Linked DNA regions of Stegostoma tigrinum. The protein of the gene in region 1 interacts with the protein of each later gene in a biochemical or structural test. Links are inferred from orthologs where the notes say so. Each region holds a gene or a part of one and is shown in the gene's direction. Other genes may lie near its edges. The genes, in order: ston2 and syt1a.

Region 1 (15,988 bases):
AAAGGTGTCCTAATGAGGTGAAGTTGAGCCTGTATTCTGTTATTTAGAAGATTTGGAGATAATCTAAACTCGTTGACAACCAAGGGTCCTAGTCACAAACAACAGATTCCTCTGAAACGTCTGAAAACGAACCTTCCAGCTCAGCGAGCAAACTCACACCCAGAACCTCAACCTGAGCTTCCAATCTTCTCAAAACTCGCTAACAGATTCCTCAGTTAGGAATAAAGAAGGGGAAAAATTCTGTCACTCAGAGAATTGTGAATCTTTGCAATAACTTTACCCCAGAGAGGCAGCAGATTCAAAAATAAGTTCAATAGATTTTTGGACACTCAGAAAATCAGAGATTATGGAGACAAGATCAGAAGATGGAATTGAGGAAGAGGAGCACACACGAACTTGTTGAATAGTGGAGAGGTTTCAGTGGGATCTATACCATACACAAACTCGTATTTCTAATGTTTTTATTTTACTACCCTCTTCTCATTTATTTTCCCATTATCAGCTAGGAGATCAGCTAGGCCACTGTTCTTAGTAGATTGACTGGCTGTGGATTTGGGGCTGCAAGGATGTTATAGACAAACAACTTCTGGATGTTGGTTGCTAACTTCATGCCAATATACTACCTCCAACAGAGTGAGCTCTTATCCTTTGATTTTAACCTTTTGTGAGATACCTGGTCAAACATTTTCAAATAAACAAGTTCAAATACAACACATCTACAGGTATCCCTAAAACCACTCTGGTTCAGACTTCCTGAAAATACTCGTAATATTTCAGTCACAGAGTCATACACCATGGAAACAAACCTTTTGGACCAACCAGTCCATGCTAAACACAATCCCAAACTAAACTCATCCCACCTGCCTGTTCCTAGTCCATATCCCTTCAAACCTTTCCTATTCATGTACTTATTTAAATATCTTCTAAATGTTGTAACTGTACTCTCATCCACTACCTATTAAGGAAGTTCATTCCACAGACGAACCACTCTCTAGATAAAAGATTTGCTCCTCATGTCTTTTTTAAATCTCTCTCTCCTCTCAACTTAAAAATATGTCCTTTAGGCTTGAAATCCCATATCCTAGGGAAAAGACACCCTACCACTAACCTTCTCCCCCTCTCTCCCTATTTATTCCAGTTCCCTCCCCCCATCCCCCTCTCTGATGAAGGGTCTAGGCCCGAAACGTCAGCTTTTGTGCTCCTGAGATGCTGCTAAGAGATGCTGTGTTCATCCAGCCTCACATTTTATTATCTTGGAATCTCCAGCATCTGCAGTTCCCATTATCCCTTATCTATATCCCTCATGATTTCATAAACCTCTAAGGTCACCTCTCAACCTCCCACAGCCAAGTGAAAGAAGTGCCAGCTTATCCAACCTTTCTTTATAACTCAAATATTTTGTACCTGGCAACATCCAGGCAAATCTCCACTGAACCCTCTTTAACTTAATAATATTCTTCCCATAACAAGGCGACCAGAACTGGACACAGCACTCCAGAAGAGGCCTCATCCACACAGTCAGGAAGATTCTCACTCTACTTACCTCACTTGTAGTCACACCCTCCTGTCCCTGACTGAATTTGAGATAGATAGCACAGTACAGGACCTTCAGCCCACAATGTTGTGCTGAGCTAAAGATCCTACTAAGATGAAACTACTCTGCATACCCTACATTATACTATCATCTGTGTGCCTATCCAAGAGTCTCTTGAAAGTCTGTAAAGTATCCACTACCACTGCCGGCAGTGCATTCCACACACCCACCACTCTCTGCATAAAGGACCGACCTTTCACATCTCCTCTATACTTTCCTCCAATCACCTTAAAATTACACCCCCTTGTAATAGTCATTTCCACCCTGGGAAAAAGTCTCTGGCTATCTGTTCTATCTCTGCCTCTCATTATCTTGTACACCTCTATCATGTCACCTCCCATCCTTCTTCGCGCTAATGAACAAAGCCCTAGCTCCCTCAACCTTTCAGCATTCTAGTAAATCTCCTCTGTGCCCTCTCTAAAGCTTCCACATCCTTCCAATAATGAGGCAACCAGAACTGAACACAATATTCCATGTGTGGTCTAACCGCGGTTTATAGAGCTGCAGCATAACCGTGCAGCTCTTAAAACTCAATTCCCCTGCCAATGAAAGCCAACACATCCTGCACCTCCCAGTCGTGAACAATTTTAACTCCCGCTCCCATTCCTTAGATGGCATGTCCATCCTGGTCCTCGTGCCATAATGATGCTACCCGTAGGTTGCAGGAACAGCAACTCATATTCTGCTTGGGAACCCTGCAGCCCAATGGTATTAATGAGCATTTCACAAGCTTCAAAATCTTCCCCCCCCCCCCTCCACTGCATTCCAAAACCAGCCCAGCTCGTTCCCGCCTCCCTAACCTGTTCTTCCTCTCACCTATCCCCTCCTCCCACCTCAAGCCGCACCTCCATTTCCTCTCTACTAACCCCATCCCACCCCCTTGACCTGTCCGTCCTCCCCGGACTGACCTATCCCCTCCCTACCTCCCCACCTATATTCTCCCCTCCACCTATCTTCTCGTCTATCCATCTTCATTCCGCCTCGCCCTGTCTCCCTATTTATTTCGGAACCCTCTCCCCATCCTCCTTTTCTGATGAAGGGTCTAGGCCCGAAACATCAGCTTTTGTGCTCCTAAGATACCACTTGGCCTGCTGTGTTCATCCAGCTCCATACTTTTTTATCTCGGATTCTCCAGCATCTGCAGTTCCCATGATCTCTGCTCACATCATACATTATAACCCTATCAACATGGGTAATAACTTTGAGACATCTATGGACATGGACCCCAAGATCCCTCCGTTCCTCCACACTGCCAAGAATCCTGCCATTAACCCTGTATTCTGCATTCAAATTCGACCTTCCAAAATGAATGACTTCACACTTTTCCAGGTTGAATTCCACCTGCCACTCCTTTGCCCAGCACTGCATCCTGTCAATGTCCCGTTGCAACAGCCCTCCATGCTATCCACAGCTCCATCAACCTTCACGTCATCAGCAAACTTACTAACCGACCCTTCCACTTCCTCAGCTAAGTCATTTATAATGATCACAAAGAGCAGAGGTCCCAGAACAGATCTCTGTGGAACACCACTGGTCACTGAGCTCCAGGCTGAACACTTTCCATCTACTACCATGCCAGGTTTGTATCCAGACAGCCAAATTTCCCTGGATCCCATGCCTCCTTCCTTTCTGAATGAGGCTACCATGGGGAACCTTATCAAATGCCTTGCCAGAATCCATATAGATCACATCTACTACTCTGCCTTCATCAATTTGTTTTGTCGCATCCTCAAAGAATTCAATAAGGCTTGTGAGGCATGACCTGCTCCTTACAAAGCCATGCCGACTATTTCTAATCAAACTGTGCTTTTCTAAATAATCATAAATACTATCTCTTAGAATCCTCTCAAATAATTTATCCACCACAGAAGTAAGACTGACTGGTTTGTAATTCCCAGGATTGTCCCTATTCCCTTTCTTGAACAAGGGAATAACATTTGCCACCCTCCAATCATCTGGTACTACTCCAGTGGACAGTGAGGATGCAAAGATCATTGCCAAAGGGGCAGCAATCTCTTCCCTTGCTTCCCATAGTAACCTTGGATATATCTCATCTGGCCCAGGGACTTATCTATCCTCATGTTTTTCAAAATTTCTAGCACATCCTCCTTCCTAACACCAACCCGTTTGAGCATATCTGCCTGTTTCATGCTGTCCACACAAACATAAAGGTCCCTCTCAGTGGTGAATACTGAAGCAAAGTATTCATTAAGGACCTCCCCTACTTCCTCTGACTCAATGCACAAGTTTCTTCCACTATCCCTGATTGGCCCTACTCTCACTCTGGCCATCCTCTTGTTCCTCACATTTGTAATAGAATGCCTTGGGGTTTTCCTTGATCCTACCCACCAAGGCTTTTTCATACCCCCTTCTAGCTCTCCTAGGTACATTCTTCAGTATCTTCCTGGCTACCTTGTAGCCCTCTGGAGCCCTGTCTGATCATTCCTTCCTCAACATGAAGTAAGCATCCTTCTTCCTCTTGACTAGATGTTTCACATGTCTTATCATCTAAGGTTCCTTCACCTTACCATCCTTTCCTTGCCTCAGTGAGACAAACCTATCCAGTACTCGTAGCAACTGCTCCTTAAACTCCACATTTCTGTCATGCATTACCCTGAGAACATCTGTTCCCAATTTATGGTCCACAGTTCTTGCCTAATAGCATCGTAATTCCGCCTCACCCAATTAAATACGTTTCCATACCATCTGCTCCTATCCCTCTCCATGACTGTAGTAAAGGTCAGGGAGTTGTGATCACTGTCACCGAAATGCTCTCCCACCGAGGCTTCTGACATCTGGTCCGGTTCATTGCCAAACAGCAAATCCAGTGTGGTTGTCCCCTCTAGTCGGCCTATCTACATATTGAGTCAGAAATCCTTCCTGTGCACACCCGACAAAATCTGCTCCATCTAAACCATTTGCACTTAGGAGGTTCCAGTCTATATTAGGGAAGTTGAAGTCACCCACGACAACAACCCTATTACTTCTGCACCTTTCCACAATCTGTCTCCCAATCTGTTCCTCAGTGTCTGTGTCGCTATTGGGAGGTCTATAGAAAACTCCCAATAAGGTGACTGATCTTTTCCTGTTTCTGACTTCCACCCATACTGACTCAGTAGACAAACACTCCTCCACGAACTCCCTTTCTGCAGCTGTCATGCCACCCCTGATTAGCAATGCCATTTCTCCACCTCTTTTACCTCCCTATTTCTTTTGAAACATCTAAACCCTGGAAGATCCAACAAACATTCCTGCCCCTGTGTCATCCCAAGTCTCATCTGGGCCTACATCTTTATTTTGTTCACTTAGTTCTTAACTTTAAAAAAATTCCTACTGGTCTTTTGGTGCTTAATCCCCAAAATATTTTTTTCCATTTACTTTTTAATCTGAAAGAAGTTTATCATCAATAGTCAAGTTAGCAGCTTTGTTCTTCCTTTATTCATTCACAGGATGAGGGCATCACTGTCTAGGCAGCATTTATTGCCCATCCCCAATTGACCAGAGGGCAGTTAAGAGTCAACCACATTGCTGTAGGTCTGGAGTCACATGTAGGCCAGATCAGGTAAGGATGGAAGTTTCCTCCATAAAGGACGTTAGTGAATCAAATGGGTTTATCCAATAATCAATAATGGCTTCATGATCATCATTAGACTCTTAATTCCAGATATTTTATTGATTTCAAATTTCACCATCTACTATGGTGAGATTCGAACCGAGGTCCCCATAATATTATCTGGGTCTCTGGATTAACAGTCCAGCAACAAATACCACTAGCCCATCACCTCCAGCTATTACCAACCAATGAATTTACAGTTTTCCTGTGATTATTTTGTGCTAGCCACTGATCCTGGGCTTCAATTTATCCTGTTAAAAAATACCTTACAAAATTATGAACCGAATAAAGCAAAATACACCTCTCCCCATTTGTACTGAATACCGACATTGCTTGAAAATCACAGAAATATACGTACTTGGGGTATACTTCTCCCAGGTGTGATCTCACCTTCTCTACTGTCTGAAGTTCACTCAACTTCATCCCCTCCAAAGCCATTCTTTTCTGACTGAATTGCCCAAAATTAGACACCATGCTCCAGATTGAGTGTGATCCAGTAAATCATCATTTCTTCCCCTTTGCACGCCAATCCCCATGCGATAAAATCTAATATTGCTCTCAGATAGAGAGGTTAAGGGCAAAAGGCTTTCAAAATCAGTATTTTAATAAGAATAAATTAATAAGAAAAGATCAATAACTTGACAACAAAGGTTCATGTAACTTAACAGTCCAATTCCCAGTCCATACGTCTTTGGGCATGTAGCGGGCTGGGTGTCTGAAGATGTGGTAAGATCTTGAGTACAAAATTGCTTCTTATTCAGGGCTGGGCAAATAACAGGGGCATGGGTCAAATTGGATAGCTCATTCAAAGAGCTGACATGAGCATGTTGGGCAGAATAAAAGTCTCCCTCTGGCCTGAACATAGAATTCACCAGTTTTAAAATCTCCCAATCCCCAGCCTCATCCCATGTGCTGAATTGTTTTTTAACCGGTTTACCAAATTTGCACAAAAAAAATAAGGCATTCATTTCTATACTTTTTTTCTAACCTCAGGATATCCCAAAGTGTTTTACAGCCAATTATGTACATTTGAACCATAGACACTGTGGTGCTGTTGGAAATGTGATACCTTTAGGCAGCATTCTCTCCATTGTTATTTTGCCACTGTGCAGGCCTCCAAGGTCTGTTTGCAACTTTGAACACATGGCTTAGAGGGTACATCACCAGTAATTAGTTTGCTCTGAAAACTGTGGGATGTTAACGACCCAATAATTTGTCTTTTCTGATGAGCGAAGGATGAATATTGGTCAGGGCATTGCAGATAAGCCCCTGATCATGTCTAAAATGACTTTTTGATTCCACCTAAGGCGTAAATGATGTTAATGGCTATGATCTCATTCAAAAGATAGCACCTTGGACATTGCAGCACTCCCTGAACACCCCATTGGAGTGTTGGCCTGGACTGTTGTGCATAAATTTTGTACATGGACACCTTTGTGCACTAATGATATACTTGCAGATATCATCGCTGCTAAGATGGTATCTCTTGGGTTGTGGCTATCAGAGCTAACTGAAATGCACCAGGTAGATTCACCGACACTAACCCTTTTTACCGATATTAGTTTGAATTATTGACACAATGTGGGGAAAGCTGTCTACAAAAAGTCTTTGGCTGAACAGAGGCTTAATCTTGTTAAACATAACAGATTTATTATATAAGACTTAATTCCTAATTACATTACATCAGTATTACATGACAGTTTGTTTTCTAAGTTTAGACTATATTTAACACAAATGTATTAATGTTAACATTAATGACACAGACAATTAATTAATGACACAAACTTAGCAATGAAATCCTGCCATGAATTGTCCATTATATCCTAATAGGTGGAGCTTCTCACCTAACCATTGCATGTAATTGCCTCACAAAACATTTGATAGTTCAGAATTACCCACACAAGATGAATAAATCCCAAGTGATCATTCCGAAGATGGGTGAGGGGTTAAGAAGCAGACGAGCGCAAATCTCATCAATCTTGAAACTATTTCTCTATATCCATCAAACACCGCTCGGTGTTTTTGCAACAATCTTCTTTTCTGGGGGGACCATTTTGTGGAGCATCTGTGCTCTGTACACAATAATTGACAACACCTTCCGGTCACTAACCATTTTCATTTTCACTCTCCCTCCCCCTCCCTTGATGGGGTGGCACAGTGGTTAGGACTGATGCCTCATAGCGCCAGGGACCTGCGTTCAATTCCAGTCTCAGGCGACTGTCCATGTGGAGTTTGCACATTCTCTCCGAGTCTGCATGGCTTTCGTCCAGGTGCTCTGGTTTCCTTCCACAGTCCAAAGATATGTAGGCTCGGTGGATTGGCCATGCTAAAATGCCTGTAGTGTTCCGGGAGGTGTAGATTAGATGGGTTATAGGGGGATGGGTCTGGGTGAGACAGTCTGAGGTTCCGTGTGGACTTAGGCCAAAGGGCTTGTTTCCACACTGTAGGGATTCTATGATTCTATGACATGTCTGTCCTGGGCCTCCTCAAACACCACAATGATGCCACACATAAACTGGATGAGTAACATGTCACATTCCACCTTGGGAACCTACAGCCCAATGGCCTGAACATCGAATTCACCAGTTTTAAAATCTCCCAATTCCCCAATCTTATCTTATGTCCAACTGTCTCCTTGGCCTGACACAACCCGTCCATCTTTCTCCCCACCAGCCCCTAAATAAAAACCGAAAGAACTGCGGACGCTGTAGATCAGTAACAAAAACAGAAGTTGCTGGAAAAGCTCAGCGGGTCTGGCAGTAACCGTGAAGAAAATATCGGAGTTAATGTTTCCAATCCTGCACCCTTCCTCAGAATGTTTTTGTTCCGCCTCCCCCTACCCGAATCCAACTATTACCACCCCACCTACTTATCCCCAGCCCCACCCCTCCTCCCTACTTTCATTCCCTTCCCCCTCCCCATTTCTGAAGAAGGGTCCCGACTAGAAACATCGACTTTCCTGCACCTCTGATACTGCTGGACCTGCTGTGTTTCTCTGGCTATACACTGCATCGACATCCACCTGGACCCATCTCCATTCGCGGCTCATCAAGTGACCAATCAAAGGGCGCTGATGTCCATGGTCCAATCGTGGAGGAAAGGAGCACGGCCAATGGGATCCGAAATGGGGAAATGAGGCGTGGCGTCGATGTCGACCTTCCAGCGGCCCCAGACGTGCGGAGCCAATGGGGGGAGCCGGTTTCGAGTGAGGGCGGGTGTGTCTAGGCAACGGCCGGGAGCGTGCGGCTCAGGCTCTCGAGCCTTTTAAATGTTGGCTTGAAACGGCCGTTTGTTCAGCTCGAGCGGAGGGCGGTGCGACGCATTAACTTAAACACGGGAGGCGGTGGTGGAGTCCGGAAATGTCAGTATGCCAGATCGAGGTGAATGTTCGATTATATGCAGTAGGTGTTCTATATGAATTATTTGTTTATGTATAAAACTTCCACACTCCTCCCCTGTCTCCTCCCCAGCAGCTCTGGCGTGTTTGTGCTAGCAGGTTGCGCCGTGTGAGCATCGTGGATGCTGTAGGGTCCTAGTGTCTCTCTTTCCTTCTCCATGTCAGATGCCAATTTGCGGCCAACTCCAGTTCTCCTGTTTCGAGGTCCGAAACTTTTTTCGTGATCATTGTCGACTTTTGGTCGGAGTATAATCGTGAGGGTGTACACAGTTCTAAGTATTTTCTCAATTTATGGCTGTCGTGTTAATGGGTCAGGAAATTTGGTTTCCAGTTTATTTGAACATCGTGATGGGAGTGCGAACAAATTGGAAGCGTCAGCTCTGCTTTTTCGCGAAGGATGCTGAATTTACCAAGCGATTTCTGTTATTGTTTCTGATTCCCAGAATCTGCAGTTCTTTTGGTTTGTTGGTTTCTAAATCGAAATGGCACACTATCCAGAATCGAAGTAAAGCTCCCGGAATGGTTCTATGAAATTTCGAATGAGCAGTCTTCCTCCAAAAGTGCGCTAATCGCGCAAGTGACTGAGCTGGAAGCATTGTTACCAAGCAGCTCCTTTTACGCCCCAAAGTGCTTCCTTTTGCTAACTCCTTCCCCCCCCCCCCCCGTTAATAACTGAAACAATGTTCCAAAAAATCTTTAATCACTGTGTCTTCTAATGATTCCCTATTCAACTTTTCATATCGATGTCACCATCTGCTGTCCTCACTGTGGACCTCTAAAAGTTCTCTAGGTAGAAGACTTATGGAGGAAGCTTATAAAGTACAAATAACTCTAACAGTTAATGAAAAAATAAACTTTAGGAAGTCCTTATTGTTATTTATAAATTTGTTGAATGAAATCAACCGTACAGAATCTGTTTACAAAAACGTGCGAATGCTATTTCAAGTGTTTTCTGCGTCTACTTTACCGTTGACCTGTCTTTAAAGAAAAGTTTAATCTGGGGTCTAAAAATAACAAAACTGGCAATTAAAAGAATTAAAATTTTATGAAAAGGAGGCAATGCAACAGATCTTCTGGAAAATTAAAGACTGAAAAAACAAGCGTTCCCCAACAGTAAAATATAGCATGATTGATTCAGTGAGCAAATTATTCTCAACTGCTGCTAATGAGAAGGACCCAGTTTTATTTTGATTTCTTATTTTGATAGCTGATATGAGTGGCTTGTGATCAGACATAATGGGAACTGCGGATGCTGGAGAATCCGAGATAACAAAGTGTGGAGCTGGACGAACACAGCAGGCCAAGCAGCATCTTAGGAGCACAAAAGCTGACGTTTCCGGCCTTGTGAATTCGGTTTCATGCTTTTAAATGTTCAAGCTAAAAGTAAATGAAAATTTGCATAAATGTGGTTGAAATGGACACACACGTAGCAATACCGCAGAAGAAAACATTAAGATATATTTACATAAGTAAACTTTATTTAAGAGCTACCTAAGGATTATATTTATTACTCTTGGAATATGAATTTTAGAGAATTTGTGATGTAGCTGTTGGAAAAATAAGAAATTCCAAACTAACCACCAAGAAAGCATAAGATAAGTGAAGAGTTTGGCTTGCTGTCTGAATATTATCAAGGTATTATTGTAATTCGTTGTGGTCAGAAATAGTCTGTAATCATTGTGGAGGTTCAGCACATAAAGTTAGAATATTGGTGACTTCAAGTTGAGGGGAAACACAGCTCCTGAAAATGTATCCCAGTAATTAACTTCTGCAATCTATGGTTCCTTATCCCCAAACCCATTCTAAAGTTTGTCTTGAAGCTGCTGAAACAGAAGGATTGTCTCATTTTTGTGCAGCTAGTTGGAATTGTATAGAATGCCTAATTTTCCTGAGAATACTTGTTGGTGTACATGCTGCAGAGTAAAGAAGATTATTTCCTTTTGAAACTTGGGGAACTAGCACTTTCACATTGTAAGCAACTAAGACAAGGTGCCAAATGTTTCTGTATCATGTTCACAACTAAAGTTGTGTTTTACAGATATGAATAGGTTTGTGATTTTTTTGTTTGATATTGCAAATGGAGTTGCACTGGAAAGATTGTGATTTGTTGATTAAAAATGTAAGGAAGATCTTACTTTTACTATTGTAATAAAACTAGCCAAATATTCCAATGAAACATCTGAATATAATAAGCACATTCTCAACCCTTTCAACTATTAATTTAAATACACTTTTCTGTTTCCAGGCTTTCTATAAGTCTTGTCTAAATTAAATCCTAATGACATGAACTTTTAGATCAAATAGTTTTAAATAGGGAGTTCTGAACCATAATATCAGAAAATTATGGAGACAAACATGTAACTACAGATACCTTATTTATGTAAGTTAAAGATATTTTAACAGTTGAGCTTTCCTGCTCCTATGATGCAGCTTGGCCTGTGTTCATTCAGCTCTACACCTTGTTATCTCAGTATACTTCCCTTTTGAGTGCAACTACACTTTCTGTAAAGTAAATATAGTGAATAAGCTGGTAATGTCCTAATTGTTTTTTAAAAACAGGCTTAAGGAAAAAAGTGAGTGCAGCTGAGGAATAAGTGTGTCTATGTAACTGATAACCAAAAAGAGAACTGTTACCAAGTTCTGTAATCAATCCATTATAAAATGAGCAACCAGTAGTGCTCACCAGTTACACTTGCCCCATACCTCTTTTCATGATCACTTCTATGTGAATCTTCAGAAGAAAATGTTTGTTGGCTTAGAGATAAAATAACTATACCCTGGCTATTAAATTTTACAGGGTCTTTTAAAAGTAGTAAATGCTGTAGAAGTGAGCATATAACTCAAAATATCTTATGAATTATAATAAGCTATGCCTCCAAAATGTGAAAGACCTAAACTTTAAAGTCATGAGATTTTTAACTAAGAAACAGTGAATTGTGAAGTAACTTCTAAATAGATGAAGTCATGCATTCTGTCATTTAGAGCTTGATTAGTTCTGTCACTTATCAACCACACCCTTTGCATGTACACTATTTTTCTTTCCTGCAATATTGTTTGCTTTTGCTTTTTCATGGCAAGCCCCTCCAATTCTATTAAGGGATGGGTCAATATGAAATTGAGTTTATTCCAATTATATTACAACAGGCAGTAAATGGACCTTTTCCCAATTCACTCGTGTCCACACTAATAAGGCAGAGTATAAAGGCAGGCCTGTTTTGTATGATCCAAAAATTATCAGCCTCTTGCAGAATGAACAAATTCAGATAACCCAGAACTGAACTTTGAACTATATACTGGAAAAATACATGAACACTTGGTGTATACCCCTGAGCTCTTTTTTTAAGAAAGAGTTCTGACAGGTCATGTATTTCAGTTAGTTAGTTTAATGCAAGACATACATTTCGACAAATAAAAAGTCACTGGTAGAAACTATTTTAATTGAATCTTTTGAAGAAATCTACTCTTAGAATTGCACAAATGTAGAAACATACACTATTTTGCTGTCATTAGCTTGAAATAAGATTGAATTGAGCAAACTAAGGATGTAGAGTTATCTTGGGGCATGGTCCTTAAAACTCTGATCTCTGTGAAGCACTTGGAATGTTTTATGGTACTATGTAAATACAAGAATCACCACCGGTGATGATATTTGAAAGAACTATATTTCCAACAGACATCTGCTTCTTGATGTCTGGCCATTAGTGACGAAGACCTTTGTAGGTAATGGGAATGCTGAGGAATGCACCTCATGCTGACTATATCAACACAAATTTGCATTTTTATATAGTACCTTTAACACAGTGAAGTATACAAGGTGTTTCTCAGGAGCATGCAGAATGTTTTGCTTGAGCTAAGGATTTTTTTCCCCGCTGTATTCCTGACTTGGAAATGTGTGTATCTGTTACACCTCACTGGGTAGTGAGCTGGAAGTTAAGCCTTTGTAATTCCCAGAGTCGTCATTATAGATAAAAATTGCATTAAAGTAGAAAATTTCCAAATTATCTGTTAGACTTGGGTGAACAGTAAATATGGTTCAGGTTTCTGTTCTTGATAAGAGTTACTATTTATTACAAGTAAATACATTGTAACTACTAATGTCTTCTAAAATTTCCTTACACATAAATGCAGATAAATAACATTGGCCTTGTGAGCAGAGTGGAAAAGTGCTGGGGAATGAGTTCAATGATGTCGGTCCTTAGGATTCCCAAATCCTTCAGTTCTTTCACTTATCCACAGCAGGCACAGAGCAACTGCTTCACAAATTATAAAGTCTGATGTATTGGTTAAAAGCATCAGCTTACAACAACTGGTAAGTGGAAATTAAACTGGCTTTCTTCAGGCTTTGGGTACTTTACTAGAGACAGAGAAAAAGAGCGAGATAGAGACAGATATACCATCTGCCCTTTCAACAGTCAAAATCTCCTTGCCAATATCTTCCTCCCTAACAGGTTATTTAGCTAGCCAGGCACCAATCTGATAACTGTTGTCAAGGTGATGGCCTTGTGCAGCTGCAGTTAGTCACAATTCCAGAAAACATGACCTCCTGTCCCTGACAACAAAATGAGAGGCTGGATGAACACAGCAGGCCAAGCAGCATCTCAGGAGCACAAAAGCTGACGTTTTGGGCCTAGACCCTTCATCAGAGAGGGGGATGGGGTGAGGGTTCTGGAATAAATAGGGACAGAGGGGGAGGCGGACCGAAGATGGAGAGAAAAGAAGATAGGTGGAGAGAGTATAGGTGGGGAGGTAGGGAGGGGATAGGTCAGTCCAGGGAAGACGGACAGGTCGAGGAGGTCCGCCATCTACAATCCGACCCCACCACCCAAGACATTTTTCCATCCACACCCCTGTCTGCTTTCCGGAGAGACCACTCTCTCCGTGACTCCCTTGTTCGCTCCACACTGCCCTCCAACCCCACCACACCCGGCACCTTCCCCTGCAACTGCAGGAAATGCTACACTTGCCCCCACACCTCCTCCCTCACCCCTATCCCAGGCCCCAAGATGACATTCCACATTAAGCAGAGGTTCACCTGCACATCTGCCAATGTGGTATACTGCATCCACTGTACCCGGTGTGGCCTCCTCTACATTGGGGAAACCAAGCGGAGGCTTGGGGACGGCTTTGCAGAACACCTCCGCTCAGTTCACAACAAACAACTGCACCTCCCAGTCGCAAACCATTTCCACTCCCCCTCCCATTCTTTAGATGACGTGTCCATCATGGGCCTCCTGCAGTGCCACAATGATGCCACCCGAAGATTGCAGGAACAGCAACTCATATTCCGCTTGGGAACCCTGCAGCCTAATGGTATCAATGTGGACTTCACCAGCTTCAAAATCTCCCCTTCCCCCCACCGCATCCCTAAACCAGCCCAGTTCGTCCCCTTCCCCCACTGCACCACACAACCAGTCCAACCTGTCTCTGCCTCCCTAACCTGTTCTACCTCTCACCCATCCCTTCCTCCCACCCCAAGCCGCACCCTCATCTCCTACCTACTAACCTCTTCCCACCTCCTTGACCTGTCCGTCTTCCCTGGACTGACCTATCCCCTCCCTACCTCCCAACCTAAACTCTCTCCACCTATCTTCTTTTCTCTCCATCTTCAGTCCGCTTCCCCCTCTCTCCCTATTTATTCCAGAACCCTCACCCCATCCCCCTATCTGATGAAGGGTCTAGGCCCGAAACGTCAGCTTTCGTGCTCCTGAGATGCTGCTTGGCCTGCTGTGTTCATCCAGCCTCACATTTTGTTGTCTTGGATTCTCCAGCATCTGCAGTTTCCATTATCTCTGATACAATTTTTACCTTCTGTCCCTGTACTGTTGTGTCCCAGGAAGGAGTTAGATTTAGCTACTGGAGCTCAAGATATTGAAAATTTATGCAAAGAAAATGAGATTAGGATTCTGAGTTGAATAATCAACCTCAATTATATTGAATGGCAGAGCAGGCTCAAAGCACCAAATGACATATTCCTGCTCCTATTTTCTATGTGAACAATCAGCAAACATTGCGAAATAACTGCACAAAGGTCAGTATTCTGTCATCAGATGAACTGTTATTTATTTTCTATAGTTTATAGGAGATGTAAGGGTGCCAGTTGGAGGCCAGGTTACATATGAATTTTCTGTAATAATTCACCAACCCAATGAAAGACCTAACCTCTGGTACAAACATGGAGACTAAGGCACCTTTGATTGCCCTCACTTTATCTTCCAATGGTTGTAATCTGGCATTGTCAATTTTGTAGCCTAAGTAGGTCACTTGTGGTGCCTGGAACACGCATTTCCCTCCTAAGGCATACATCCGCCTTGGAGAAAATATTTAAGCACTATGTCCAACTTCTCTAAATGCTCTTCATTGGTGTTCCCAGTTATTAGCACATTATCCAGACAACTGGTGACCTGAAAATGTTTTCCATTGTCCACTGGAAAATGGCACAGCCTGATGATACCTCCAAAAGACAATCTTGTATATAGTACAAACCTTTATGGGTATTAATTGTGGCATACTTCTAGGAATCGTCATATAATCCCAATGGCAGGAATGCATGGTTCTTCTCCAGTTTCATGAAAGACAGACCTTCTGACAGTTTTGCATAGAAGCCCTCTTAATTAGGACTTCACTCAGGTATCCATTTTCCAATTTAAAAAAAATGTTGAGCCAATCAAGTTGATTCTTTCTCAACCAATTTCACCCCTTCAAGCTTAGGCCCAGCCTTTTACTACAACCAGCGGTAACTAAACTAAGTGCTTCTCATAAAAAAAATAGGAATCAAAATTGAACCCTTAATCTGTAGGGGTTCCTTTTTAATATAGGTTTTTGCCCTGACTGAGGTCTTAGCAAACTTAGGGTTGGACTCCAGAGTGAATTTGTTAGAGATTGGTTCTGCAATCACTGATACAACCATACTGGCATCAACATCCATTAGAACTGGGTGACCATTTATCCAGGCATTTATTTTGATTGTATCAGAGATAATGGGAACTGCAGATGCTGGAGAATCCAAGATAATAAAATGTGAGGCTGGATGAACACAGCAGGCCAAGCAGCATCTCAGGAGCACAAGAAGGGTCACTTTATCTTCCAATGGTTGTAATCTGGCATTGTCAATTTTGTAGCCCAAGTAGGTCACTTGGGGTGCCTGGAACACGCATCTGATGAAGGGTCTAGGCCCAAAACGTCAGCTTTTGTGCTCCTGAGATGCTGCTTGGCCTGCTGTGTTCATCCAGCCTCACAATTTATTATTTATTTTGATTGGTTGTGATCTGGATGTTGCTAAGCAATTTAACCATTCCAAACCAGATGTTGATGGACTTTCCAGTGTGTGCATTCTCCTGGATACCAGCCTATAAGTTATTTTACTCAATTCAGGCTGAGTGGGAGG
Region 2 (15,727 bases), on another chromosome or scaffold:
ATCCCACCCAGGCCCATCCCCCTATAGCCCACAGAAACTACACACCCCTGAACACTACGGGCAATTTAGCATGGCCGATCCACCTAGCCTGCACACCTTTGGACGGTGGGAGAAAACCGGAGCATCTGGAGGAAACCCACGCAGACACAGGGAGAATGTATAAACTCCACACAGACAGTTGCCCAAGGGTGGGATCAAACCCAGGTTCCTGGTGCTGTGAGACAGAAATGACGATTATGAGGGGGCATAATTTTAAATTGATTGGAGGAAGGTATAGAGGAGATGTCAGAGGTAGGTTCTTCACACAGAGAGTGGTGGGTGTGTGGAATGCACTGCCGGCTGTGGTTGTGGAGTCAGATACTTTAGAGGCTTTTAAGCGACTGTTGGATAGGCACATGGAGGATAGTAAAATGTAGGGTATGCAGGGTAGATTGATCTTAGTCGGATTGTAGGTTGGCACAACATCGTGGGCCAAAGGTCCTGTACTGTGCTGTACTGTTCTATGTTCTAAGCTCTATGTTCAGTAGTGCTAACCACTGAGTCTCTTCCATTCCAAAAGCAGGCTGCTGTTTCTGCCTGGCGGCCATCATCATTGATATCATAGAATCCCCACAATTCGGAAGCAGGCCATTCGGCCCAATGAGTTTCCAAGGCCTCCAAGAAACATTTGACCCAGGCCCACTCCCCTACCCCATCCCTGAAACCCTGCATTTCCCAGTCATTTTAAGAAATGTTGTCGTTCCAAATAGAACATAGAACATAGAACAATACAGCGAAGAACAGGACCTTCGGCCCTCGATGCTGCGCCGGCCTGTGAACTAATATAAGCCCCTCCCCCTACACTATCCCATCATCATCCATATGCTTATCCAAGGGCTGTTTAAATGCCCCTAATGTGGCTGAGTTAACTACATTGGCAGGCAGGGCGTTCTACACCCTTACTGATCTCTGAGTAAAGAACCTGCCTCTGACATCTGTCGTCAATCTATCACCCCTCAATTTGTAGCTATGTCCCCTTGTACAAGCTGAAGTTATCATCGGAAAAAGACTCTCACTGTTCACCCTATCTAATCCTCTGATCATCTTGAATGTCTCTATTAAATCCCTTCTTAGCCTCCTTCTCTCCAATGAGAACAGACCCAAGTCCCTCAGCCTTTCTTCATAGGGCCTGTGCTCCAGACTAGGCAACATCCTGGTAAATCTCCTCTGCACCTTTTCCAATACTTCCACACCCTTCCTGTAATGGGGCGATCAGAACTGCAAGCAATATTCCAAATGAGGCCGCACAAGTGTTTTGTACAATTGCAGCATGGCATCACGGCTCTGGAACTCAATCCCTCTACGAATAAAATCTAACACATAGTAAGCCTTCTTAACAGCACTATCAACCTGGGTGGCAACTTTCAGGGATCACCGTGCCGAAGGGGCGGCACGGTGGCTCAGTGGTTAGCACTGCAGCCTCACAGCGCCAGGGACCCGGGTTAAAATCCAGCCTCGGGCGACTGTCTGTGTGGAGTTTGCACATTCTCCCCGTGTCTGCGTGGGTTTCCTCCGGGTGCTCCGGTTTCCTCCCACAGTCCAAAGATGTGCAGGTTAGGTGGATTGGCCAGGCTAAATTGTCTGTAGTATTCAGGGGTGTGTGGGTTATAGGGGGATGGGTCTGGGTGGGATATATCAAGGGGCAGTGTGAACTTGTTGGGCCAAAGGGCCTGTTTCCATACTGTTGGGAATCTAATCTATTCTCATCTATTCCATGTACATGGACACCAAGATCCCTCTGCACATCCACACTACCAAGAATCTTCCCATTGACCCAGTATTCTGCCTTCCTATTATTCCTCCCAAAGTGAATCACCTCACATTTATCCGCATTGACCTCCATAAATCTGCAAGTAATGGGAGCAAATGGCAACTGAATTTAAAACACAATCTGATTGAAGGTGTAAGGGAGTCAAAATGACAGACATTAAACATTGAAGGAACAATGATTGGCACATTAATTACTGGCCAGTAGATCTCCAAGCAGAGCAACACCTACTGTATATTAACAGGCTCCTGGTGTAGGATTTACATTGTCTGATAGGTTGAAATGGTTCAAACCTTCCTCAATCAAACTTCATACTCCGGCAGAAACACACTTGAAAGACAAAAGTCAGATTGCGGTAAGGTTAAAATATTAAGAATGAGAAATAGCAGAACCACTTTCTATCCAAGAGAATCAAGAAGCTTCCACTGTCAGCAGCTCAGCACACTTTAGTTCAAAGCTGACCATGAGGGGAGAAAAACCTGCAAAGGAAGACAGAATTTTGACAAGAATTTTCCAAATTATTCTCAGAACCAAGTAAGCTGAAAAATGAGGACCATGTAACACCATGGGCAAATGCAACATCAATTAGTCTTTTTACTTCAAGATAGGTTCTGCACTTACTAATGGATAAAGTGAAAGAAGAAATTAAAAAGATGCAAGAACAAGGGTAATTCCATCAATTACACTCCTACTAGATTGTGTCAGGGTCTAGGCCCGAAACGTCAGCTTTCCTGCTCCTCTGATGCTGCTTGGCCTGCTGTGTTCATCCAGCTCTACACCTTGTTATCTCCTACTAGATTGTGTTCCGATATGGTCACGCTTTCTAAAGGAAATGGAAGTATCAGAATTTGCACAGACCTAAACTGGCAGGTAGAGGGTAATGTTACCTTGGAAAATGTGAACTTGTTCACATTGGTATGAAAAAAACAAAGTAGGGTTTTACTTCAATGGAGAATCACTGTGAGTCACAGAGGGGTTGGATTTGTCCTGCTTTTTGTGTATGGGACATACTTGGGCAATTTTTCACATTATCAGGTAGATAGCAGTGTTGTAACTGTACGGGAACAGCTTGGCTAGGGGAGCGACAGGCTCTGGAGCACAAGTCCTCAGTGCTATTGCTGGGATGTTGTCAGGGCCTGTAGCATTTGCAGGATCCAGTGTCTCCAACCGTTTCTTCGTATCACGTGGAGTGAATGGAGTTGGCTGAAGACTGGTATCTGTGATGCTGGGGAACACTGGAGGAGGCCGAGGTGGATTGCCCACTGTTGTTAGTAATGAGGACAGGGCAGGTTCAGGGCCTCTGTTGGTGCCAGGTGGTCCTTCTGGTTTCATCACAGTGTGGAGCTGGAGGAAAACAATAGTTCAGGCAGCATCAGAGGAGCAAGAAAGTCAATGTTTCAAGTCCGAACTCTTCATCAGAACTGGGATGGTCTGAACATTGTTTGGAGTCCATGGGGTATGAACAGGCTGCATAGGCTGGAACTGAGAAAGAAGGTAGAATCATAGAATCTCTACAGCATGGAAACAGGCCATTCAGCCCAACAAGTCCACACTGCCCCTCCAAAAAGCATCCCACCCAGGCCCCTTCCCTCACCCCTGCAGTTCCCACGTCTAACCTAAACATCCCTGGGCAATTTATCATGGCCAATCCACCTAGCCTGCACAGTGGGAGGAAACAGGAGCACCCGGAGAAAACCCATGCAGACATGGGGAGAACGTGCACACTCCGCCCAAGGCTGGAATTGAACCTGGGTCCCTGGCACTGTGAGGCAGCAGTGCTAACCACTGAGCCACCGTGCTGCCCAAATGTGGCTGTCTCAGTTTGTAGTCTCTGAGCTTCAGGGCAGAGATCATCAGAAGGTTGCAGTGGGAGAGAGATTCACTGAGATCTTTCCAGAGGAAGGAGGATAACTTATTCAGGGTGGGAATCCTTGGAAGAGGCTTCGCAGTGGGTTTATAGCTCTTTCAGAGATAACAAGAACTGCAGATGTTGGAATCAGAGTCAACACAGTGTGGAGCTGAGGAACACAGCAGGTCAGGCAGCATCCGAGGGTCAGGAAAGCTGATGTTTCGAGTGTGGACCCTTCATCAGACCCAAAACATTGACTTTCCTGCTCCTCTGATGCTGCCTGACCTGCTGTGCTCCTTCAGCTCCACACTGTGTTGACCCTGACTCCAACATCTGAGGTTCTTGTTATCTCTTCTGGTTTCATTCTGCTTTCTCTTTCTGACAATTGATCCAACCGAGTGACTTAGCCAGACATTCCAGAGGGCAGTTCAGTGTCCATAGTGTATTGTAGTGTAGTCCCTACTGGGTAAGGATAGTAGACTCCTTCCCTAAGGTACATTAGCAAACTCAGCATGTTTTTACAACAGGTTTTTATCGTCATCATTGGACTTTTAATTCCATATTTTTAGTTGATTCACATTTCACCATCTGCCGTGCTAGGATTTGAGCCTTGCCCTCAAAGCATTACCTCAGTCGCATTGTCACTGGTGCGGAGGTAATCCCACTGTGTCCTCTCCAGCTCCTTTTTCTCCTCCTCCTTCTCCTTCATTTTTTTGTCCTCCTTCTCTCGCTCCCAGTGTGATTCAGTGAGTGAGAATTGGAGAGAGATTGCATGGAGGAGACACTTTGAGTGAGTGTGGATCAATGACTGTAAATAAAGGTTGTTGTCAAAATATATTGAGGCTCCTGTAAAAATGTTGAAGAGACAATAAGTCACCGCCCTGCCATCATGCTGACCTGAAGATGCAACACCCAAAGAAATTGGCAGAATATCTCAATATAATAGATTGAACTGAACCAACACTCTGTCACAACCTGAACTCTGACACAACAATAACATACTTGTCAATGGTAGTAAAGCAAAATTGTTTCTTTTATTGTAAAACATTTCCATAGGATTTCAATGTTGTGAGACTCTAACAGAGTCAGCAAAATTTATCAGTATTTATGCCGTTGTCTCTGGACAATGTGTTAGTTTTGGTAAAATTTTCATTTTATTTGTCTCATAGAATTATAGAATGACACAGCACCAAAGGAGGCCATTCAGCCCATCACGTCAGTTCCATCTCCTTATCCAATTAATCTCACTTCTCCCTGTATTAGCTTCCAAATCTGTGCATTTTTCTCCTTTTGAATGTTACTATTGAGTCTTTCTCTAACACCCTCTCAGACAGCACTTCCCAGATCACAACAGTACTGCAGGCCTAGTGCAGAATAGTAGGACAAGGCTAGATCACCCTTTGGTAACTGTCATGGACATGATGGGGTAAATGGCCTCCTTCTGTCTCATAGATTTTCTATGATTTTATAAACACACTCAGTTAAAATAGTTCTCCTCATCTCGCGTTTGTTCTTTTACCCGTAATCTTACATCAGAATCTCGCTGGTTGCTAAACAAAAAAAAACAAAAGAACTGTGGATGCTGGAAATCAGAAACAAAAGCAGAAATTGCTGTAAAAACTCAGCAGGTCTGGCAGCATCTGTGGAGAGAGAAAGCTGTGTTAATGTTCTAGGTCCAGTGAAGAAGGGTTCTGAAGAACAGTAACTGGATTTGAAACATTAACTCTGTTTCCCCACTACAAATGCTGCCAGATCTGCTGAGATTTTCCAGCAACTTCTGTTTTTGTTCCTCTCGTTCCTGACCCCCTGGTCACTGGTAATGGTTTTCTCCATATTTATTTTATCAAAATCCTTCCTCGTTTTGAACGCAGAAAACAAAAAGCAAACTCTAAAAGTCAGAAATGACACAAACTGACACCATCTTCGGATCTTCTTCTCACTATCTTTCCTATCAGTGGAACAACCCCAGTTACTCAGTCTCTCCACATTCACTGAAGTCCCTCATCCTTGGTCCCATTCGAGTAAATCTCCTCTACACCTCTAACAATGTCTTGGCATCGTTGCTAAGGTGTGGTGACCAGGATTAAACACAATTCTTTAAATGAGGTCAGGCCAGTACTGGATAAAGGTTTTCTGTAAATGCCTTCCATTTGTGCTGTACACTTCCAGGCCTAAAGGCTTACAGATTTCATTTGTCGCTTCAGCAATCTCATTCGTTACTCTGTCACTTTAAAAGATTTGTGTTTGTGAACCTCCAGGTCCCTCTGTTCTTGCACTGTCTTTAAAACTGTGCCACTTAATTTATAACCTTGAAAGCTGGAGAGATCAGAATAAATCAGCAGGTGATGTTAATGTTAACAGATCAACAATGTAACATTGTAATGGGATAATCCAGCATTGGAGACGTTAAACTTATCTGAGAATGTAAAGTTGAGGCCAATCATGCGCGATGGTTAAGAAAATATCTCCAAAAGTGGGAGATATTAAAGCTGCTTTCTCACAAGTTACAGTATTAATGGAGCATAATTATGCACACACATTGAACACACCACACTATGCTGTTGTTGAAAGTAATTCTGTATAATATAACTAAATAAAACTTGATTGGAGATGTGAAGGTCTGTGTTTGGAATTTCATTTGACATTTAACATTAGATTAAAACTGGTGATATCTTGTAGTTCACGTATTTAATTTATTATTCTGTCATATTGCACACTGGGCTAATAAATTTTCAAAAACTATATATCCTTCCTGTTACCAGGCAACAGCAACCAAATGCAATTAAACTGACATCCTGTATTTGATAGAAGGTGGTGGCCAAAAATGGCAGAAACTGTGACTTAAAATTCCTCGCCTTCGTGTTAATATATGAATCCCCTTTAGGACATATCTCAGAGTTCCAACCTCTCAAGGTTAGCATCCTGACATCAGCAGGGATCCTGGAGGAATTGTCACATCAGGAGGATCAAAGCGTGTGTGTGTGTGTGTGTGTGTGTGTGTGTGTGTGTGTGTGTGTGTGTGTGTGTGTGTGTGTGTGTGAGAAAGAGACTGGGCCTGTATGTGAGAGTGTGTGTGTGTCTGTGTGTGAGAGAGAGTGTGAGAGTGTGTGTGAGAGTTTGTCTGTCTGTGTGTGAGAGAGTTTGTGTGACTATGAATGTATGTTTGTGAGAGAGAGTGAGAGAGAGAGAGTATGTGTGTGTGTGTGTGTGTGTGTGTGTGTGTAAGAAGAGACTGTATGCACAGGCAGCCATGTGAGAGATTTGTTGGATGTATGTGCAATCTGGAATTGTGTCTGACTACAGATGCACTATGCAAGTCGGTGTGTGTTAGTAGGTGTGCGTATTTGTCAGCAGGTGCACAGTGTGTCAGAGTGTGAACATGTGGATGAGTCTCTGTATCGCTGACACAGTGTATGTGAGTGTGTTTATTTGTATGTGTGTGAGAGATAGGATGTACACGTGTGAATCTTTTAACATTCTTATGTAATCGCTTCAGCAAATTCTCTGCACGCAGCCTTCTCACCAGGAGTGGAATTCACAGCAATGCCTCCTGTTCTGCAGTGTAACTCGGGGGAGTCAGTTTGCAGTTATACTTCATTCAGAGTAAATTTACAAACACTGCACAGCCCCCAACCCACACAGGTCCCTCATTTATAACATAAGCCAATGCACTATTTATAGATGAACAGTCTTTTTTGAAAACTGAGTTAGAAGCTGGCAACAGTCCTGTGCCCAGGAGGAATATTTGGCTGAAGTCATCATAACATATGTGTAATGAGGAGAGAGGCAGGAGAGAGAGAGTAGGGATGGGGTGATGCAGAGAGAGAGAGAGAGAGAGAGAGGGAGAGAAAGAAAGAGATGGACACAGTGAAGAAAGGAAGAGCCAGAAGGGGAGAGATAGAGGACAGAGAGAGAGAGACATGGAGACAGAGAGAGAGGAGAAAGAGGAGAGGCAGAGAGGATAGAGAGTGAGAGGAGAGTCAGAGAAAAAGAGATTGCAGAAAGAGAAAGACAGACAGAGAGAGTGATGGTGGGAGACAAAGAGACTGAGAGAGAGGCAGAGAGACAGAGATGGAAAGGAAGAGAGACAAAGAGAGAGAGAGGGAGAGAAAGTGATAGAGAGAAACAGACAGGAAGAAAGAAACGAATCAGTGAAGAGACACAATCAGACAGAAAGACACAGAGAAGAGAGAGAGAGAGAGAGACTAAGAGATAACAACAAAAGTCATATAAACACAATTTTAATTTTCCAAAGATTGCGGGAATAGAATTTAGTTGTTGAGCATTCAGCTACAGTCAGTGGGAGATTCACTTCATAAAATGTGTAAAGTGTAAGAATTGTGAACAGGAGTTAGTCACTTGGCCCCTTAAGCATCCTCAGTTACGATAGCAGGTGATCTTTTACCTTAATTCTATCTATTCACCTCATACCACATTTATTCATTCGCTCATGGGATGTGGGCATTCATGGCCAGGCCAGCATTTATTGCCCATCCCTAGTTGCCCCTTGAGAATGTGGTAGTGAGCTGTGTTTTTGAACCGATGTTGTCCATGTGCTGTGGGTTGACCCACAATGCCCTTAGGGAGGGAATTCCAGGATTTTGACCCAGTAATAGTGAAGGAACGGTGAGATATTTCCAAGTCAGGATGGTGAGGGGCTTGAGGGGGAATTTGCAGGGGGTGGTGTTCCCATGTACCTGCTGCCCTTGTCCTTCTGATGGAAGTAGTTAGGGATTTGGAAGGTGCTAAGGATTTCTGGTAAATTTCTGCAGTGCATCTTGTAGACAGTACACACTGCTGCTACTGAGCGTCGGTGGTGGAGGGAGTGGGATGTTTGTGGATGTGGTGCCAATCAAGCAACTGCTTTGTCCTGGATGGTGTCAAGCTTCAACACATCCAGTCAAGTTTCATTGTTCACCCTCCAAGATTCATAGAAATGGAGAGCAAAACTGCACAGTGTAATCTAGTTGTGATCACCCCAAAATCCAATGTAATTGTGATATAAATTGCAGGCACTGGGTTATGTGGACAAGGTACAAACTGGTCACAATTGAAAACATACACCATGTGTCTCATCACCAGGCAGGTGCAATCTTTCCAATACAGAAATGCATCTTTTTTTAATTAATCCGTGGAACTATTTGGGGGAAGAGGGTGTGGTTGAATAAAGAGGGAGAGCCTGGTCATGCCTCCTCACCCAGGGATTTAGCTGTATCCCATCATGAGCCTGGGGTCTGGTCCTAACTGTGTGTAGCAAGACCCCATGAAGTAACTCTCCCCAACTCTGTCTTGAATAGTGTGCCAGGATTTTTTGGTTACTGGAGGAGGGTGATTGGTGTTCTGGCCCCAGTGACAGGGTAGGACTCCCTCAGAACTGAAATGGCAGCTGGGATTTGATTCTCAAGCTGGTTCAGAGAGGTCCAAACCAAATATGCTTGAAAAGCAGCTGCTGGAAACACAGTACTGTGAGGTGGGGCAATGTTCTTAGTCACATGATGCCCACCTAGATATGGATGTGCAGGATGGCTTTGTGCAGTTACAAACTCAAACTCAAGTCCCCAGCTCTGTGCTCCCGAGCCAATAAACTTCCACTGCGTGACCCCTGGCTGGCTCTGGGCTGGGGACCTGAAGGAGCTCAGACCCACAGTAAACATCTAGCTTCAGGTCTACTCCAGGTAAACTCGGGGACAGCATCCCCATACCCTCATAGCAACAATCCCTGACTGAAAATCTCTCCTCCCCTTTGCTTGCTTCTGTTAGTGTCGCTGGTGGTGTGGTATTGTTGAGAGTAGTGAGACCCTCTGGGTGAAGGGAAGCAGTCAGGGCAGAGGGTTGGGGGCTATCTAGATCCCACCCCCACACCCCCACACCCCCACCCTCGCTCCCCACCTGTCTCCTGGAAGACTGAGCTGGGTGCTGCGGGCGCCTCTTGCGGGAACTCTCTCCAATGTGTGTGTGTGTGTGAGAGAAGACGAAATGGAGCTGTGTCCCTGTTTCTTGCTGCTGGATTAGGTATGCGAGGCAGCACTTTTCTGTGTCCAATCATACACAAGGACTCAGTGATGCAGTAGGTTCTCACTGGAGGCTTTCCTGAGAGCTGCAGTGTCTCTCTGCTAAAGTGACGGTTACCCCCCTGTCTCCCGCAGTATAAAACCCTTCACTCTCAGCACTTGGAACCAAATCTCTGCAAAGCCTGGCCGTGAGGAGCAAACAAGAGAGAAACTGAGAGAGAGAGAGAGAGAAAAAAAAGTGCATTCCTTGTAATTTGTGTGTCTCTATTCCTCAGGCAGCCTCAGCTAAATAGATTTTCTGTTTATTTTAAACAAAATAAAGGACATCATTCCAGGTAAGAGATGTTGTGTTCCCAAGCTGTCCCCCTCTCTCTCTGTCCATGCTGAAAGTGTGACTGGCAGGAACCCTGTTGCTGGGGTTGGTTTATATTTGGGAAGGGACTATAGTCTAATGAATGCTCCCTCTCGGAATGGGAGGAACGTGTCAGCTCAGGATTGTGTTCCCTGAGCTCTATCAGGAATATCCCCTTCACCCGAATCATTGCGAGTCAGTGAGGCGGGTGACAGAGGGGAAGGAGCGGGACTATGTGTGTCCCAGAAAGTTGAGGTGGAGAAACTGTGACCAGAGGAGTGGGATTGATACTGACTGTAAACCTTTGTGTGTGTGTGTGTGTGTGTGTGTGTGTTCGTCTCTGCCACTCTCCATCAGGGAGAACGCGAAAACAAATGTCATCTTTCATTTGCTCGGTGTGTTGTTCCTGCTATTGCTGTGTTAGGGCTGTGTGTGTGTGATGAGGAAGAGATTTCCTCTGTTTCTGTCCAACACTCGCTGAATGTCTGCCCTGGTTTAGTGAGAGTCCGCCGTAGGTGGAGCATATCTCCGTTGGGTTCAGTCAGTCCGCTTACTGTGTTCATCTCGGTCAATTCCAAATCGGCAATGAATTCACAAAAGGTGTTTATCAGAAACAGCACATTGATTGCCTACTAGTTGTAATTTAATCAGTACACACACACTTTCTCTCTCTCTCTATCTCTCTCTCTCATACGCACACACACACAATCACACTGGTACACAATCTCACACACATTGACACACAATCTCATATACACACACACAGTGGACATACAATCTCCCACACACTGACACACATAGAGACACAATCTCCCTCCCACACACTGACACAGTCACACAATCTCTCAAACTGACACAGATATAGATACACAGTGACACACACAATTACACACTGATTCACACACACAGATATGCCCACATACTGACACACACACCAGCACATACATACTCACACACACAATCACACACACACACACACACACACACGCACACACACTGGCACGCACACACACAGACACTGGCACACACACAGGTATGCACAGACACTGGCACACACAGACACTGGCACACACACAGACACTGGCACACACACTGGCACACACATTGGCATACACATAGACACTGGCACACACACAGAGACACTGGCACACACTCACTGACACTGGCACACACACTGGCACACACTCACTGATAATGGCACACACTGGCACATACACACACACTGGCACACATATACAAGACGGGAACATGGAGAATGCTCAATCCTGGGAGAAGGAGCCAGGGCAAAGATGTCGGGGAATGGCCGGAAACCAGCGGCAAAGGATTTCGGCCAAGCCTGTGGGTCATCTCCGGGGAGAATCGGTTTTGCTCAGTTGCTGGGGGTATTTGTACACCTTGCCGATCCTCCCCTGGAATGGGCTGGGGACTGGGGACCGAGCTGCGGTTAATTCCCAGGGATTTAGACCGGATTCCGAACAGTGGGAGTGGAATTCCGAACAGACGGTGTGAAGGACAAGGAGTTTTCGACTTGATTTGATCTTCTGATCTCTGTGCCTGTATGCCATATCCATATTTATACACTGATTTATAACCATGTATTAATCTCCCGTGAGATGTGGAGCGCTGAGTCTGTCACCCTGAAATACAGCTGTACAGGAACAGGAGTCCCACTACTTTGGCTCCTACAGGTTGACTGGACCCAGTGAAAGAGCAGACAATTGTATCAGCAACAGCATCTTACTTTCTCCACCCGCACTGCCCCCCCCCCCATTACTGTTGGTGTTAATTTCAGCAGGAAATACAGAGTAGTTTTCCCAATGCCTCCAAACTCCAACCAGAGAACATCAGATTCCACTGAACTAGTGAGAGAGACAGAGACCGAGAGTCAGAATCTCCCCAGGTCACTGCCCTTACACGAGAAGGAATTTTCATCGTTTGATATTGGCAAATATTCTGATAGAGTGACCTGGGTAGGTCTGTCAAACATGCAGCACAGCCTCCTGAGAAACAGGGCACTATGAAGAGAGATCAGAACACATACTTCCTCTCTCAGTCACACAGTTTCTAACTGCTGCCAACTCCATCCCAGAAACTAACCCACCAGGGGCCTGAGCTCCACTCAAACACATTGTGTAGTAATTTCCATCTCCTTCAGTTTGATCCCACGCACTGAAGTCCCACAAAGATTCAGTGAAGATCCTAAATATTTTCAAAAAAATCTGTTCAGAGATGTTATTACATTCTTCTGCAGTAGATGGGACTTGGACCTGGGCCTCCCAGTTCAGTAGTAGGGGCACTACCACTGTACCAAAGAGGACCCTGAGTGAGTATCCAACGGTTCCTTTCATGGTTCATTTCACCTTGGTGCAATAACGCTGAATGAAGCATGGTGGTTTCTGGTGGGTGGTGTTGAAGATGGATGGGGGTCGAGGTGGATGGGGGTGAAGGTGGATGGGAGTTGAGCTGGATGGGATTGACGTGAATGAGGGTTGAGGTGGATGGGGTGAAGGTGGATGGGGATTGAGTTGGGCAAGGGTTGAGGTGGTTGGGGATTGAGATGGATGGGGATTAAGATGGATGGGGATTGAGATGAATGAGGGTTGAGGTGAATGAGGGTTGAGGTGAATGAGGGTTGAGGTGAATGAGGGTTGAGGTGGATGGGGATTGAGATGGATGGGGATTAAGATGGATGGGGATTGAAATGAATGAGGGTTGAGGTGAATGAGGGTTGAGGTGAATGAGGGTTGAGCTGGATGGGGTAAAGGTGGATAGCAATTGAGATGGATGAGGGTTGACGTAAATGAGGGTTGAGGTGAACGAGAGTTCTGAATCTGAACGAGGGATTGTGAATCTGAAACGAGAGATTAAGCAGGCTAAGAGAGGGCATGAGAGATTGCTGGCAAACATGGTTAAGGAAAATCCCAAAGCCTTTTATTCATATATAAAGAGCAAGAGGGTAACTAGAGAAAGGATTGGCCCACTTAAGGACAAAAAAGGAAAGTTATGCGCTGAGTCAGAGAAAATGGGTGACATTCTTAACGAGTACTTTGTTCGGTATTCACCAAGGAGAGGGATATGACGGATGCTGAGGATGGGATAGATGTTTCCTTACTCTAGGTCAAGTTGACAGAAGGAAAGAGGAAGTGTTGGGTATCCTAAAAGACATTAAGGTGGACAAATACCCAGGTCCAGATGCGATTTATCCCAGAGTACTGAGGGAAGTGAGAGAGGAAATAGCCGGGGCCTTAGGAGATATCTTTGCAGCATCCTTAGACACGGGTGATGTCCTGGAGGACTGGAGACTTGCTAATGTTGTCCCCTTGTCTAAGAAGGGTAGCAAGGATAATCCAGGTAATTATCGACCAGTGAGCCTGACGCCAGTGGTTGGGAAGCTACTGGAAAAGATATTGAGGGATAGGATCTATTCCCATTTGGAAGAAAATGGGCTTATCAGTGATAGGCAACACGGTTTTGTGCAGGGAAGGTCATGTCTTACCAACTTAATAGAATTCTTTGAGGACATGACAAAGTTGATTGATGAGGGAAAGGCTATAGAAGTCATATACATGGACTTCAGTAAGGTGTTTGATAAGGTTCCCCATGGCAGGCTGATGGGAAAAGTGCAGTCACATGGGGTCCAGGGTGTGCTAGTTAGATGGATAAAAAAACTGGCTGGGCAACAGGAGACAGGGAGCAGTAGTAGAAGGGAGTTTCTCAAATTGGGGACCTGTGACTAGTGGTGTTCCACAGGGATCTGTGCTGGGACCACTGTTGTTTGTGATATACATAAATGATTTGGAGGAAGGTGTAGGTGGTCTGATCAGCAAGTTTGCAGATGGCACTAAGATTGGTGGAGTAGCAGATAGTGAAGGGGACTGTCAGAGATTACAGCAGAATATAGATAGACTGGAGAGTTGGGCAGATAAATGGCAGATGGAGTTCAATCCGGGCAAATGCGAGGTGATGCATTTTGGAAGATCTAATTCAAGGGCGAACTATACAGTAAATGGAAAAGTCCTAGGGAAAATTGATGAACAGAGAGATCTGGGTGTTCAGGTCCATTGTTCCCTGAAGGTGATAACGCAGGTCAATAGGGTGGTCAAGAAGGCATATGGCATGCTTTCCTTCATCAGACGGGGTATTGAGTACAAGAGTCGGCAGGTCATGTTCGAGTTGTATAGGACTTTGGTTCGGCCACATTTGGAGTACTGTGTACAGTTCTGGTCGCCACATTAACAAAAGGATGTGGATGCTTTGGAGAGGGTGAAGAGGAGGTTCACCAGGATGTTGCCTGGGATGGAGGGTGCTAGCTATGAAGAGAGGTTGAATAGATTAGGATTATTTTCATTAGAAAGATGGAGATTGAGGGGGGACCTGATTGAGGTCTACAAAATCATGAGGGGTATAGACAGGGTGCATAGCAAGAAGCTTTTTCCCAGAGTGGAGGACTCAATTAATAGGGGTCATGAGTTCAAAGTGAGAGGAGGAAAGTTTAAGGGAGATATGGGTGGAAAGTTCTTTACACAGAGGGTGGTGGGTGCCTGGAACGCGTTCCCAGCGGACGTGGTAGACGCAGACACTTTAGCGTCTTTTAAGATATATTTGGACAGGTACATGGATGGGCAGGGAGCAAATGGACACTGACCCTTAGAAAATAGATGACAGGTTATACGGAGGATCTCGATCGGTTCAGGCTTGGATGGTCGAAGGGCCTGTTCCTGTGCTGTAATTTTCTTTGTTCTTTGTTCTTTGAGGGTTGAGTTGGGTGAGGGTTGAGGTGAACGAGGGTTGAGGTGAACTGAGATTGAGATGGGTGGGGTTGAGGTGAACGAGGGTTGAGGTGAGCGGGGATTGAGATGGATGGGGTTGAGGTGAACAAGGGTTGAGGTGAACGAGGGTTGAGGTGGATGGGGTTTTAGGTGGATGGGGTTGAGGTGAATGAGGGTTGAGGTGAACGAGCGTTGAGTTGGGTGAGGGTTGAGGTGGATGGGGTGAAGGTGCATGGGGTTGAGGTGAATGAGGGTTGAGGTGGATGGGGTTTGAGGTGCATGGGGTTGAGGTGAACGAGGGTTAGGTTGGGTGAGGGTTGAGGTGGATGGGGATGAAGGTGTATGGGGTTGAGGTGAATGAGGGTTGAGGTGGATGGCGATTGAGGTGGATGGGGTTGAGGTGAATGGGGATTGAGGTGGATGAGGGTTGAGGTGAACGAGGGTTGAGGTGGATGAGTGTTGAGGTGGATGGGGATGAAGATGGATGGGATGATGGTGGCGTGGCGTGAATGGTTTGTTGGTAGAAGAGTGCATGGGTGAAAGATGTTCAAGGGTCATTGCTTTGATGAGTGGGGGGATGGATGACTGGACCGATAAATGAAAGGGGCATATGCACCAGAGATTGAAGAGTTGAGTGAATGGATTGGCTTAAGTGTGTGAGTGGATGAGCTGCTGGTGTAATTGTGGGGAACAAGAGTACCCACTTTGTCCATGTACGTGGATTACATTGAATGCAAGGCTAGATGGTCAGGGTCATTCAGATCGGTGTCAGGTGCATGGGTCATAGATGCCCAACCCAGCTGTGGTGGAAGTGAGATCTCTCTCAACTGGTACAGTTACAAACCAATCCAGCTGAGAATATGGGACAAACACCATCAGCCCAGAGCGTGGTGACAATGTGGAACTTCCGAGATGCATGTAAGTGGATGTTGGATTATC

What was found.
Region 2: the proteins of ston2 (region 1) and syt1a form a complex in vitro, tested with the Homo sapiens proteins (2 studies listed by BioGRID). The link is inferred for Stegostoma tigrinum from reciprocal best matches to the Homo sapiens genes STON2 and SYT1.

Annotation. Positions count from the first base shown.
Region 1 is NC_081363.1:9,666,160-9,682,147, forward strand, and holds the start of ston2 (stonin-2), read left to right. Parts: upstream 1-8,393; 5' UTR 8,394-8,566; coding exon 8,567-8,608; intron 8,609-8,711; exon of another isoform or gene 8,712-8,808; intron 8,809-9,811; exon of another isoform or gene 9,812-9,987; intron 9,988-12,732; exon of another isoform or gene 12,733-12,913; intron 12,914-15,988. UniProt on the Homo sapiens protein: Adapter protein involved in endocytic machinery. Involved in the synaptic vesicle recycling. May facilitate clathrin-coated vesicle uncoating.
Region 2 is NC_081371.1:61,644,823-61,660,549, reverse strand, and holds the start of syt1a (synaptotagmin-1a), read left to right. Parts: upstream 1-9,770; 5' UTR 9,771-10,002; intron 10,003-15,727. UniProt on the Homo sapiens protein: Calcium sensor that participates in triggering neurotransmitter release at the synapse. May have a regulatory role in the membrane interactions during trafficking of synaptic vesicles at the active zone of the synapse.